Linked DNA regions of Neurospora crassa OR74A. The protein of the gene in region 1 interacts with the protein of each later gene in a pairwise test. Links are inferred from orthologs where the notes say so. Each region holds a gene or a part of one and is shown on either strand. Other genes may lie near its edges.

The links. The genes of interacting proteins can lie anywhere in the genome.
Region 2: the proteins of scon-2 (region 1) and cul-1 interact in binary tests that used the Saccharomyces cerevisiae proteins (3 or more experiments, as listed by UniProt). The link is inferred for Neurospora crassa OR74A from reciprocal best matches to the Saccharomyces cerevisiae genes MET30 and CDC53.
Region 3: the proteins of scon-2 (region 1) and met-7 interact in a two-hybrid assay, tested with the Saccharomyces cerevisiae proteins (2 studies listed by BioGRID, with this or other methods). The link is inferred for Neurospora crassa OR74A from reciprocal best matches to the Saccharomyces cerevisiae genes MET30 and STR2.

The regions. Positions count from the first base shown.
Region 1 is NC_026503.1:4,897,299-4,901,050, forward strand, and holds the start of scon-2 (sulfur controller-2 protein), read left to right. Parts: upstream 1-955; 5' UTR 956-1,476; intron 1,477-1,714; 5' UTR 1,715-2,426; coding exon 2,427-2,864; intron 2,865-2,950; coding exon 2,951-3,680; intron 3,681-3,740; coding exon 3,741-3,752. UniProt on the Saccharomyces cerevisiae protein: Substrate-recognition component of the SCF(Met30) complex, an E3 ubiquitin ligase complex that mediates the ubiquitination and subsequent proteasomal degradation of target proteins. Negatively regulates sulfur amino acids biosynthesis genes expression.
Region 2 is NC_026504.1:5,762,364-5,766,115, forward strand, and holds the start of cul-1 (Cullin 1), read right to left. Parts: upstream 2,328-3,752; 5' UTR 1,696-2,327; coding exon 1,625-1,695; intron 1,555-1,624; coding exon 1,485-1,554; intron 1,425-1,484; coding exon 1,408-1,424; intron 1,344-1,407; coding exon 1,252-1,343; intron 1,188-1,251; coding exon 1-1,187. Other genes in the region: NCU05203 (hypothetical protein), read right to left, coding at 3,309-3,752. UniProt on the Saccharomyces cerevisiae protein: Core component of multiple cullin-RING-based SCF (SKP1-CUL1-F-box) E3 ubiquitin-protein ligase complexes which mediate the ubiquitination and subsequent proteasomal degradation of target proteins.
Region 3 is NC_026507.1:2,514,541-2,518,292, reverse strand, and holds the start of met-7 (cystathionine gamma-synthase), read left to right. Parts: upstream 1-1,253; 5' UTR 1,254-1,605; coding exon 1,606-1,653; intron 1,654-1,729; coding exon 1,730-1,824; intron 1,825-1,914; coding exon 1,915-3,637; 3' UTR 3,638-3,752. Other genes in the region: NCU02429 (hypothetical protein), read left to right, coding at 1-261. UniProt on the Saccharomyces cerevisiae protein: Catalyzes the formation of L-cystathionine from O-succinyl-L-homoserine (OSHS) and L-cysteine, via a gamma-replacement reaction. In the absence of thiol, catalyzes gamma-elimination to form 2-oxobutanoate, succinate and ammonia.

The sequences.
Region 1 (3,752 bases):
TGTTTCGACATCCACAAGCCGACATGGGCTTAGGCCTTTTAAAACCCCTCGAATGTCTGGAAAGCTTCCATCATGATGAAAACGGAAGCCAGACTTGGTCACCCCGCAAAATTCCCCAGGAAAGCAACCTTGTCGTGGGTCAACATGATGGAAAGAGGCAGAAGATGCTATTCCGAGAACACCGAGGTCGAGATTGAAGCCAGAATGGAAATGTCCGTGCCGCTGACCACGGCCCGGACTGTCTCACGATGTTTATCGGGTGGATATCACGACATGGTGCCTGGATGGGATGTTGACATGCACGGGGGAGACGGGAAGGACGGGATATGTAGATAGCGTCCATTCAAGTTGGGTTAAATGGAGACGACGCTCCACATCAAGCTGTCGTCAACAGTGCGATTGGGATTGTGTGGTCTCTGGGGACTGTGGCCGCAGTGACGTTGATGTCCGTCTTCGGAGTCCTTCCTGTCGACGACATGAAGCCGCTCCAAGGTCAGTCAAGCTGAGACGGTCGAGTGATTCAAGACGACGACGGGAGGCATGCTGTGGTCAGGTTGACAGAGGAAAAGAGAGAAAGTTGATAAAATTCAAAGTCGCCATATTAGAAATCCATGCACTTGGTGGCGAAACAACAGTCTGCTTATTTTGTTTTAATAATCGTGAGACATGTGTCGTGGTGTTGATGCTGAACCTCCAATTAGGGACCTGGCTATGGCACGTGACTGGCACTGGCATCATTGAATTGAGCTACGGAGTCTTGACTGTTAGATACTTGCTGTACTGCTTTGCATAGAGTATAACAGCCAGTACATCCCCGCATTTTACAGTGGGCCCGGTGATGTCGCAATTCTGGCGACAAAGCAACAAAGCGAAAAAAACGAGGATGGGTGACTCCACTCTGTACCTGGGAGCTTCCCGCGCCCCACCCCAGTTGATTTCGCCATTTTGCCCTTCTCTTTGCGATCAAGAGCGACGGCCAATCTTGTCTCTTTCCGTCTGCAACATTTCACAGTCACACACACACAGAGAGAAGGAGCAACGAAGTCAAGACACATCCGATTTCAGGCGGTGTGAAGCAACAGCTGAGGTTCAACACCCCGTTGCGATACTGCCCGAGACTTCCACTTTGCCATTTTGGAAAGAGTGCTCTCTCTAAGGTAGTATACCTCATCCATTCCATCCGTCACCGACAGGCGACAGCCGTTCCAGAGCTGTCACTTACCTGGTATTCGGTTACATACCTACCTCTACGCTACTGTACAAAGAGGGAGCACGGGCACTCGTACCCGACACCTACAGTAGCTTCCTTCAAAGAGCAAGAGAGCAGTCACATACCTACTAGCTGCCCAGACTGAAAGGAAGAGACAGCAAGGCACCGAAAGCCGGAGAGACTAGAAGTTTGAGACATTCCACTTGGACAACAGAAGTGGAACAAGTGAACCTGGAAATAGGTCAGCAGCGGTCATCATCATCACAGTACGTAAACCACCAAAAAAGACCCTTTAAACACTTTGACTCGGATCGATGGCGACCAAGGTGCTGTGCATTGCGTGAGGTGCCACCTTGTCCCGTCCACATCCTCGCTGCTCCCGTCCTAGGTCATCCTCCAACAGACATCGATTCCTCCTTAACGTGATTGCCCTCCAAACTGCAGCTATACTGCGCTGCACCAGATAAGAGTGCACTAACACTTACACCGCACCAATAACAACAGGTCCAACAACGTGCCCACCTCCACGGCAGGGAATCAATCCTTCAACGGTCCCTCTTTCATCTCAGCTGAGCTCTTCCTGATCGCCTCCAGTCCTCCTCCCTCCCCGGGGCTCCATCTCCAATCCTCCGCCAACAACATCCAGATCCCATCACGTGTCCATCCATCCAGAAACATCAAGATCGCCAGTTGGGCTGCCCGGCATCACATCGCTGCTGTTTGTTGTCTGCGGGACCCTGCCTTCCTTCTGCTCCTCCTCCAGCTTCATCTAGACCTGCCCAACGGTGGAGCGAGTCTGGATTCCGCATTAACGAGATTGGACCTTTGAGACGGTAGACCGCCCAAACATCGACCACACCAGGGCATCCATCCATACACCTCACATCAACCAGCCCGATCACGCAAGACCACATACCCTTTCCCGCCCCAGCCTGACCGACGGGAGTACCTACTACTAGTACATACCTTGGACTGGACAGGACTGGACAGGCAGGACAGTAGTGTACAGGACAGCACTGCGATACATACAGCAGCAATCTGCGTCCCCTGGTCAGCACGCCATCCATCGCCCTCTAGCCGACCAATGCTTGGTGTTGCCTCTTCCGCCATTCAACAACAGAACCACGCAACCGCAAACGCACTCTAAATTCCCCCTCAGAACGCACAATCGCAGCGTCATTCTGGGCCCGGCGGTCCTCGACTCCCCCTTCTCCCAATGGATTCCTACCACCTCGCCCCGTCTCGTCCGACTGCGAGCTTCGGACATGATAATGACGCCCCGCTCCAACATGGGCCTCTAGTGAACTCCTACTCTCATCACCATAACAACCACTCGCGCGACACCGACTCCGATCCCACCGACCAAAACTGCGACCGCAAACGACCCGAGCAACAGGCAAGGTTGCGCTCCCGCAACAGCGTCACCAACATGTCGTCCGTCCTCATGAGCAAGACTGTCACGCCTTTCCTTCGGGAACACATTCCCAGCATCTACGCCCCCATCGGCAAGCCGGGGAACCAAGAGACGGCCAGAGCAGAGAACCCCAATTCCAAGTACTGCTATAGACACCACCCCGACTCAAAGTGCCGAAGGGCTGCCGACAAGGCCAAGATGGTCATGATTCAGAGCGAGCTAGACAAGCTCACATCAGCGGTGGGTCTTCATACAAAACATAAACATTGATTGCTTCTTGTCTCCAAGGTTTGGTGGACTGACTGGTACCTTGCTTGAAATAATAGGATCAGCAAGCTGTGACCCACGTGTGGTCCCTGTTCTCGGCCGCCCCTGCCCGACATCGCGACCTGATGCTTCAGGGTATCCTCTCCCAGCTCTGCTTCCCCCAGCTCTCCTTCGTCTCGAGAGAAGTCAACGAAGCCCTCAAGATCGACTTCATCTCCGCCCTCCCCGTCGAGCTCGCCCAAAAGGTCTTATGCTATCTCGACACCGTCAGCTTGACCAAGGCCGCCCAGGTCAGCCAGAGGTGGCGAACCCTGGCCGACTCGGATGCCGTCTGGGTCCGCATGTGCGAGCAACACGTCAACAGGAAGTGCACAAAGTGTGGATGGGGATTGCCCTTGCTGGAACGCAAGAAGCTGCGCAACTACACCAGACAAAGACAGCTGGCCAAGGGTGGGCCACAAGGGAGGGTCACAGAACTGGCCGACTCCCACGACAGCCAGGATCGATCCGTCAATCAACATGGAAAGCGCCCGGCAGCAGAGGCGGAGGAAGAGGACCCCATCAAGAAGCGCCAGTGTATGGCTGCAGCAGAAGCCTCCAAGGCGGTAACGCAACCCAAGACCCGAAGCTGGAAGGCCGTCTACCGGGATCGCTGGCAGGTCAGCTACAACTGGAAAAACAGCCGATACAAGTTGTCGGTTCTCAAGGGTCATGAGAATGGTGTCACATGTCTCCAGCTCGATGATAACATCCTTGCGACTGGATCGTACGACACCACTATCAAGATCTGTATGTGGTCTTGCTTCTTTAAACATTGGTGCTCGCTTTAAACTAACACATTGCTGACAGGGAACATTGAGA
Region 2 (3,752 bases), on another chromosome or scaffold:
GGAGTTGCTGTGTACGAGGCGGCGCGCCAGCATGCGTGAGTAGAACTTTTGAAACACGTCCTTGTCCTGGATGTACTTGAACACAGTCATAATCTGCGTCAGCGTGTTCTCGAGCTCCGCCTCCTCCACTCCGGTGCTGCTCTTGCGGAGAAGCACGTCCGTGTACTTGGCCAGCAGTTCCGGTGACTTGTTGGAGCCCGATTTGCAGACCTCGTTCCGGTTCACAAACTCCTTGCACGCGTTGTCTAGAGATCTGGTGAAGTCAGGCTCCTTGTTGAAAGCGCGCTCAACTAACCCCTGGTACTGAGTGTGGATCTCAAGCAGAGCGTCGACGTAGACCTTGGGCTCCAGCTTGTCGGCGTCTGCAGCCACCTTGGCAACAGCCGCCAAACCAGCCTTGCGAACATGGGCCTCGAAACGAGTCCGCAGAGGCTCCAGACCGTCGGGAATGCGAGAAAGGAGGCTGTACATCCGCCTCATGTCGTCCTCTCGGTTGTTGTCCAGCAGGGCCTGGAATTCTTCACGCAACAGGGTAGAGTGCTCCGCGATGAGGGCCTGGTTGCAAGTCCTCTTCAGATGTAGGGCAATATCTGGATGCAGATACATGCGTACGCGCTCCTCCTCCTCAGCCAGGCGAGCCTCGGCCTTCTTCATGTACTCGACAACGCTATTCTCGGCCACGAACTGTTTGCTTTCGTTTTGGTAGAAGACTTTGGTCGCCTCCAGGAACGGCCTTTCAAAGTGGTACCTATACACTTCCAGCGTCGTCTTGGTGTTGTCGCCTTCGTCCATACCGAGTGAGACGAAGCTATCGACCACCTGTTTGATCTGGGTGTACTCGATGGTTTCACCGAGGCGTTGCCTTTCCACTAGCTTGAGAACGGCGTCCATGACTTTCTTAGAGACAGCCTGGAACAACACGTCACGCCACTGAACAAGGTGGAGCGTGTAGACGTCGTAAATGTTCTTTTTCCCTTCATCCATCTCGCGCTTAACCCAGTGTCTATTCAGGTACTTGAAGAGATGGTGGATATACTTGGCGGCGTTGGTGTAGCGTTGCCATTCGCGAATGTAAAAAGCTAACAAGGCCTCGTCCTTGTGAGCCTCCGCTTCGGAGACTAGGTGCTTAAGGTGGTCTGTCAGGTAGTTGGCCAGCTTCTTGTACAAGTCCTCACCAAGCAGATGGGCTGGTGCATGTTAGTCCTCTTGCTCAATCTGTTTAACGGGCAAATGCAGGGAAAGACAACATACCCCCTCTCTGGGCCCCGATTCCCGGAAGGTGATTACTCGGACTGCTGCTACCGCCGTTGGCCTTCTGCGATGTGCAGAAGTTGTGCACCGCCCTATGCCGCAGTTAGTACCATGTTGAAGGAGTGTATAGACAAATAGGGCATCCGTCCAACTAACGTGTAGATTCCCATGTACTACAAACGGCGTGTGTTAGCGGGGGGTAACGTGGACGGATGGGCGAGGAAGAAACATACACTGCTCATGTCGAGGCCTTCTTGGAGGTTGGTCATGATCTTGTTGATACTAGACTGCAAGTATGGCCAACTGATTGGCAGAGGGTCAGTACGGCTGTTTGGAGGCAGAGGGGCCAGCAGCGAAGAGAGCGAAAACATACGTGCTGTCGATACCATCACTGCCAGAAGGCTGCTGCCCGTACGCCCCCATCATCATGGTTGCCGGAGGCATGTTTGTTGTGTCTATGTGTATGTTCGTTTGAAGAGCGATCGTGCGCCGGGAATCGAAGAAAGAATGCGATGTTGGGAATAATATGCCGGCTGACAAGTGGTGGTGGACGAGGGGCGTAATCCGTGAGAAAACTCAAGCTGACCAGGTCGTGTTGGGTCGCGTGTGTTCGTCCAGAGGCTGTCGGGGGGGCAAGAACGAGTTTGATCTGGGCGACCGGTCGTTCTTGAGGTTGGAAGCGCGTTGACTGCGACCGGTGACGAAGGGTAAATGGACTGGGTGGCAGCCAGAGGCGTAGAAGTAGAAGCTCGTCCTGAGCGATGAGGCGCGCCACAGGTCTGGAAGGTCGGATGGATGGCGGGGGTCACCACGTCCTTAGGTCCGTCGGTGTCGGCTGGGAGAAGGACCGTGACCGTGAGCAGACAGACAGACGGGTTGATCGGATATCGGGTCGGGTGAAGAAAGGATTGTTCCCTTGGAGTGACGGGTGTGAGGTCGCAGCCTAGAGGTGAGGTGTAGAGGTAGGTACCTTGGCTGGTTGTTGTTGTTGTTGTTGTTGTTGTTGTGGTGGTGTTCTGACAGGTTTCAATGTTCTGTTCTGAGTGTAGGTAATCAAGTTGAAGAGTGGAGTTTCCAGTTTCCAGATTGGCCCCCCGAGGCTGCTGCTGCTGCTGCTGCTGCCGTGGTCGATGCCCGGATGATAGAGCGATGCCGTCGTTCGTTGACGGTTTTCAGGCTGCAGCGGCGTGGCAGGCATCGATTGACACTGACAGCAAGCAGCATGGAGGCTCCAGAGCAGTGGCCCCCCCGCCAGTAAACGTCCACCGCGAACACGCAAAATTGTGGGGAACCAACCATGGACGGGAAAGTGGCGGGGATGGAGACGACCTATGCCCTGCGATGCGGGACGGGCGACCATCTAGTGTACATTCCGTCATTACCGGTACATCTAACAATGGCGGCTAACAGATCTGATGAAGGTATGTACCTTATATTGATATAATACCATGTTTCTTCTCAATATGAATACAATAACCGGAACTGAAGTAATAAAATATGGGGATGGCACATATGTACAGCTGGCGGGGCATTTTACATACAAGAAAGCAGAACAGTGACAACGATGTAGCTACTTGTAGGTAGAGGTAGGTCAGCCGTTTACAGCCCCTTTAACCGCTAATGTTGTAGAAGGACACCATTGGTGGCCAGAATTCGATTAAACTGCATGTATTTTTCTGCTGGGAGCTCACGGCAGGCAATATGATATCTCCTTACCATGTCAAATCTTTCGCTATCCGTTCCCCTTTTCATGTCTCATAATGCATATACAATCGAGTAATAATCATCACCATCCTTGCTAATATCAACATCACCAACATTACCAACTGATCAAACACTATTTGTTACCGCTGTATGCTAATTTGCTAATCCAAAAACCCCACCCAAAAGAACACAGAGGCAGAACCGTGCTGAGGTATCGACAAAGTACGAGAAAATGCAAGTAAGTATGCTCCCATGCGGGTGGTTGGAGACGTTCGACGTGATTCATCTCCCCCGCTTTGTTTTTCTTTCCCTCTCAATATCCTTCGGGGCTTGACCGCCCATTATAACCGTCATTACCTTCCCCTCTGAGTCTCCAAATCATCTCCGCCTCCCAGCTTTACTACCAGCCTAAACACATTGACCGTAAAGTTGGTCAACCAGAAAAAAAGCCCAAGCAGCTGAAACGCGGCCAGCGCCTGGCTGAAATGGTCCGTGAAGCGATCTTGACTGTTATGATAAACCAACACCTCATATGCCAACGCCGTGCTGGCCGCCTTGAACACGATGAAAAACACATCCATCAGCACCAACCCGCTCTTTTGCGTCACCGGCCTTAGTCCCAATGGGCGGCCCGTGTATTCGTCCCAGAGCATGTACCCGATATAGGGAATCGCTATCGTGTCCACCGCAATCGCCACTATCGCTTGAGTCCGCTCTGACGACCCGGGCGAGATCTGTCTTATCAGGGAAAGCTCTTGGTCGACGTATCCTTCGGAATTGGAGGCTGAATGCAGGGC
Region 3 (3,752 bases), on another chromosome or scaffold:
GTCAAAGTCGGTGGCAGTCCATTGGGAAGGTCTGGCGCTTATGGTTCAAGCCGTGATGGGGGTTTGCCTAGAAATGCTTCGGGTAGCTTGAGCGAGCTCGTCACACCTCATGAGATTCTGCTACCGCCCGACACCTCGGGTGTTCAGTCCACAAAGTGGGACAGTGAGGTAGAGGACCAAGAAGATGCCGATAGTATCGTACCCAGCGACAGCATCAGCTGCGTGGGGACTCGCAGGAGCGGTCGCGCATACTACAATTAAGCCGCGCGCCGGCAGGTGGGTTCACAATGGACAACCTAAGCATAGAAGAATGTCATAAGTGTCGACTTGCAACGCACAGGGAGCATATCCTGAAAATAGAATAAAAAGCTTCTGTGTTCATCTTGTATCGGTCATCGTCTGCGGCCCTACGTCTATGGATGCCCAAGATGTAGGGCATGTGAGATAATGGTATGGCGATAGGCAGACCATGGCCAGTCATGCTCGTAATGGACAATAGGGCGGGCGAACCAGCACTGCGACAAATCGCAGGGAACAATCCGTGATATGTAAAACATAGAAAGGCTTTTACCATTGCCCAGAACCGAGTTGGCTAGAATGTTATATATATATATATCCAGTCCTGCTCGACGTACCTTTGTTTCATCATGGGAGCGCCTCGCGTTTGACGGGTGGTTGGAAGTCGGCTGGTCGGCAGGCAACGGCCGGCAGGGGCAGAACAGAAAGATACTCCCTCATCTTCCTTGCATCTTCCGTCACCGATCTACGGCGTCAATGTGTAGTGTAGGTCACAGTAGGCGTTCGGGCGGGGCGTAGACTCATCTTCTAGGGGGTGGAGACTGTGGGGATTCCGTCATGTCGGTTTTGCGCCGCGGCCCGGGTACCTAAGTACCTACATACATTGACCTTGTAGGCGGAGGGTATGAACGTATGCTGCATGATATAACAATGCAGCGTTATGGACAATAAGAATCTCCTGCAGAGCAAGGTGTATCCGGTAGAATAGAAAAGACTTGCAAGATATAGTTTAGGCCGTGAGAAGGACCAGTCTATCAACGAAACGTCAAATGCGACCGTCTCTGCCAGAAACATTCTTCATACGATATACACAGTACTGGCAGTAGAGAGAGTACTATGTACATACTAAGAACGATCGTCACCGCTAGCTTAGATCTAACTCCGTGATTGATTGGATACAACCACAAGTACAGATACTTGAAAGCCTCCGATACTCGGCATCGACGAGTCACTCCTTAGCGACCAAATTCCGTCTCAGAACTCGCTCACTTGGCTCACTTGGTTGCTCACTCAACATCTCTCTTTACTCATTCCCTTGCTCAGAACTAACAGGGAGGCAGAGATAAGTTAGGTCAAATTATCAAGGACACACCTAGTTTTATGTTAGCCATGTTCTTGGAGCTTGCCCTTGCCTCACTATCTTAAGCGGTAATTGTGACCCAGCTAACGGAAAGACAGCATCTATTAGGCCAGGAACCAATAGGGAAGGTCCTCACATCCGCGCGAAGCAAAAGTATAACATTCACGCAGCATCACCACTCATCTTACTACCTATCCGCACTCATCTGGCACTCAGTCACGTATACCATGCCTCCCTTCGAGCTTGGGGACCCTATACCCTCGGAGACCGCTCATGTATGCACCCATTCCCCAGCACATACAGTTACCACCATTACAATGCCTCTTTCTGACCTCAAGTTGCTGTCTCTAGGCCGTGAGCGTCTCACTCCCAACCTGGAGTGCCAATGTTGGCTATGAGGAGGGCCAGGATTGGGTGGTTAAACGCATGGCAACGGGTTATCCTCGGTATGTGGGCGCCTGTCCTCCAGACATCATGATCACTACAGTCGTAGTATCTCGATGAGCACTACAGTTGTACTGACCGACCTGTGTCAGCTTCTTCATCCATCGGACCATTCAGGCCTTTGCTGCGGACATTGTGGCCACGCATGTCAGTACCAAGGCCAAGCGAACTAGTGATATCACAGCCATGCTTTTCCCGACGCCGACCATTGCCTCTCGCTGCGTTGATTTCATCCGCTCGCGGGCACCTGCTGATGTCTGCAGCAACATTGAGGTCGTCAACCTCGTTCTTGATATGTCGGATCCCGAGGCGCGTGCCCTGGAGCCCCTTTGTCCATCCATCTCTGCTGTGATCATGCCACAGGACGGCTTTCCATTCGCAAAACAGTACTGGCAGCATAGTGGAGATGGCGTTTCTAGCCGTCGGGCTGAGTTCTGCCACGGTTTGTTCAAAGACGGCTTGCTGCGTCCTGATACTGAACTCCGTAATGCGGCTGTCTCTGCAGCAAAGCCGTGTCGCGGTCCCAAGCGCTATCAGCGGCAGGCTTCGCTTGACGCTGGAGGAAACCAACAAACGATAATGCACGGCCATATCCACAGGGCTACCGGAGAGACTGCGATGATCCAAGAGACTTCCCGTTTTCTAGAAGAGCGTTTCGGCAGAAATCTCGACCTCTCCTTTGTCCATCCCGCCAAGTCCGCCATCAAGAGACGAATTGCCGGAGCACTGCGAAGTGCCGACCATGACCTTGGAGGTTCCCCTTCGCTGTCAGAAAAGCAGATGAGTTCCAACACCCGCGGCATCGCCAATCTTCGCGAGGAAGATATCTATCTCTTCCCATGCGGAATGAACGCCATTTTTCATGCCCACAGAGCGCTGTATTCCATTCGAACCCCGCCGGGCAGCACGCCGCTAAAGAGCGTCAACTTTGGCTTCCCTTACGTCGATACGCTCAAGATTCTGGAGAAGTTCAACCCTTCTGGTGCGTTATTCTACGGCCACGGTTCCAAGTCCGACCTCGACGACTTGGAGACTCGACTCGAGTCCGGAGAGCGGTATCTCGCTCTTTTCTGTGAATTTCCGGGCAACCCCTTACTCACTTGTCCCGACCTGGTCCGTATTCGGGAGCTGGCGGACAAGTACGAATTTGCCGTTGTTGTAGACGAGACTATTGGCACTTTTGCGAATGTGAATGTCCTCCAGTTCGCGGACATTGTTGTCAGCAGTCTCACAAAGATTTTTAGCGGCGACTGCAACGTCATGGGTGGCGGTGCTATATTTAACCCTAATTCACGATACTATTCAGCCCTGAAATCCTTCGTCCAGCAGCAATTGGAGGACACCTACTGGCCCGAGGATGTCATTTTCATGGAGCGCAACAGCAGAGACTTCGTCGCGCGCATAGACCGAGTCAATGCAAATGCCGAAGCCATTTGCCGTGTCCTCCAAGATCATCCGCTCGTCAAGACTCTCTACTACCCCAAGTACAATGATTCACGGGCCAACTATGAAGCGGTCAAACTGCCACAAGGAGGCTACGGTGGCCTTATCTCAGTGGTCCTCAAAGGGAAGAAGCAGGCTGTGGCCTTTTACGATGCGATCGAAACGGCCAAGGGTCCGAGCTTGGGAACCAACTTCACATTGACTTCGCCCTATGTGCTCCTGGCGCATTATCAGGAGCTTGACTGGGCTGAGCAGTATGGTGTTGACAGGAATTTGATACGGATCAGTGTCGGGCTGGAGGGAACAGATGAGCTTATCAATGTGTTTACCAGAGCACTGAAAGTTGCCGAGGAACAATCTCAATATCCTTGAAAGTAAGGACAGGTAGCGAATGCTTACAGATGTAAACATGTTAAGATGGGTCTGTGGTAGGAAGAGGAGTGAAATGATACAAACCTTGTGTTCTCTTCGCATGTCACACATTTGT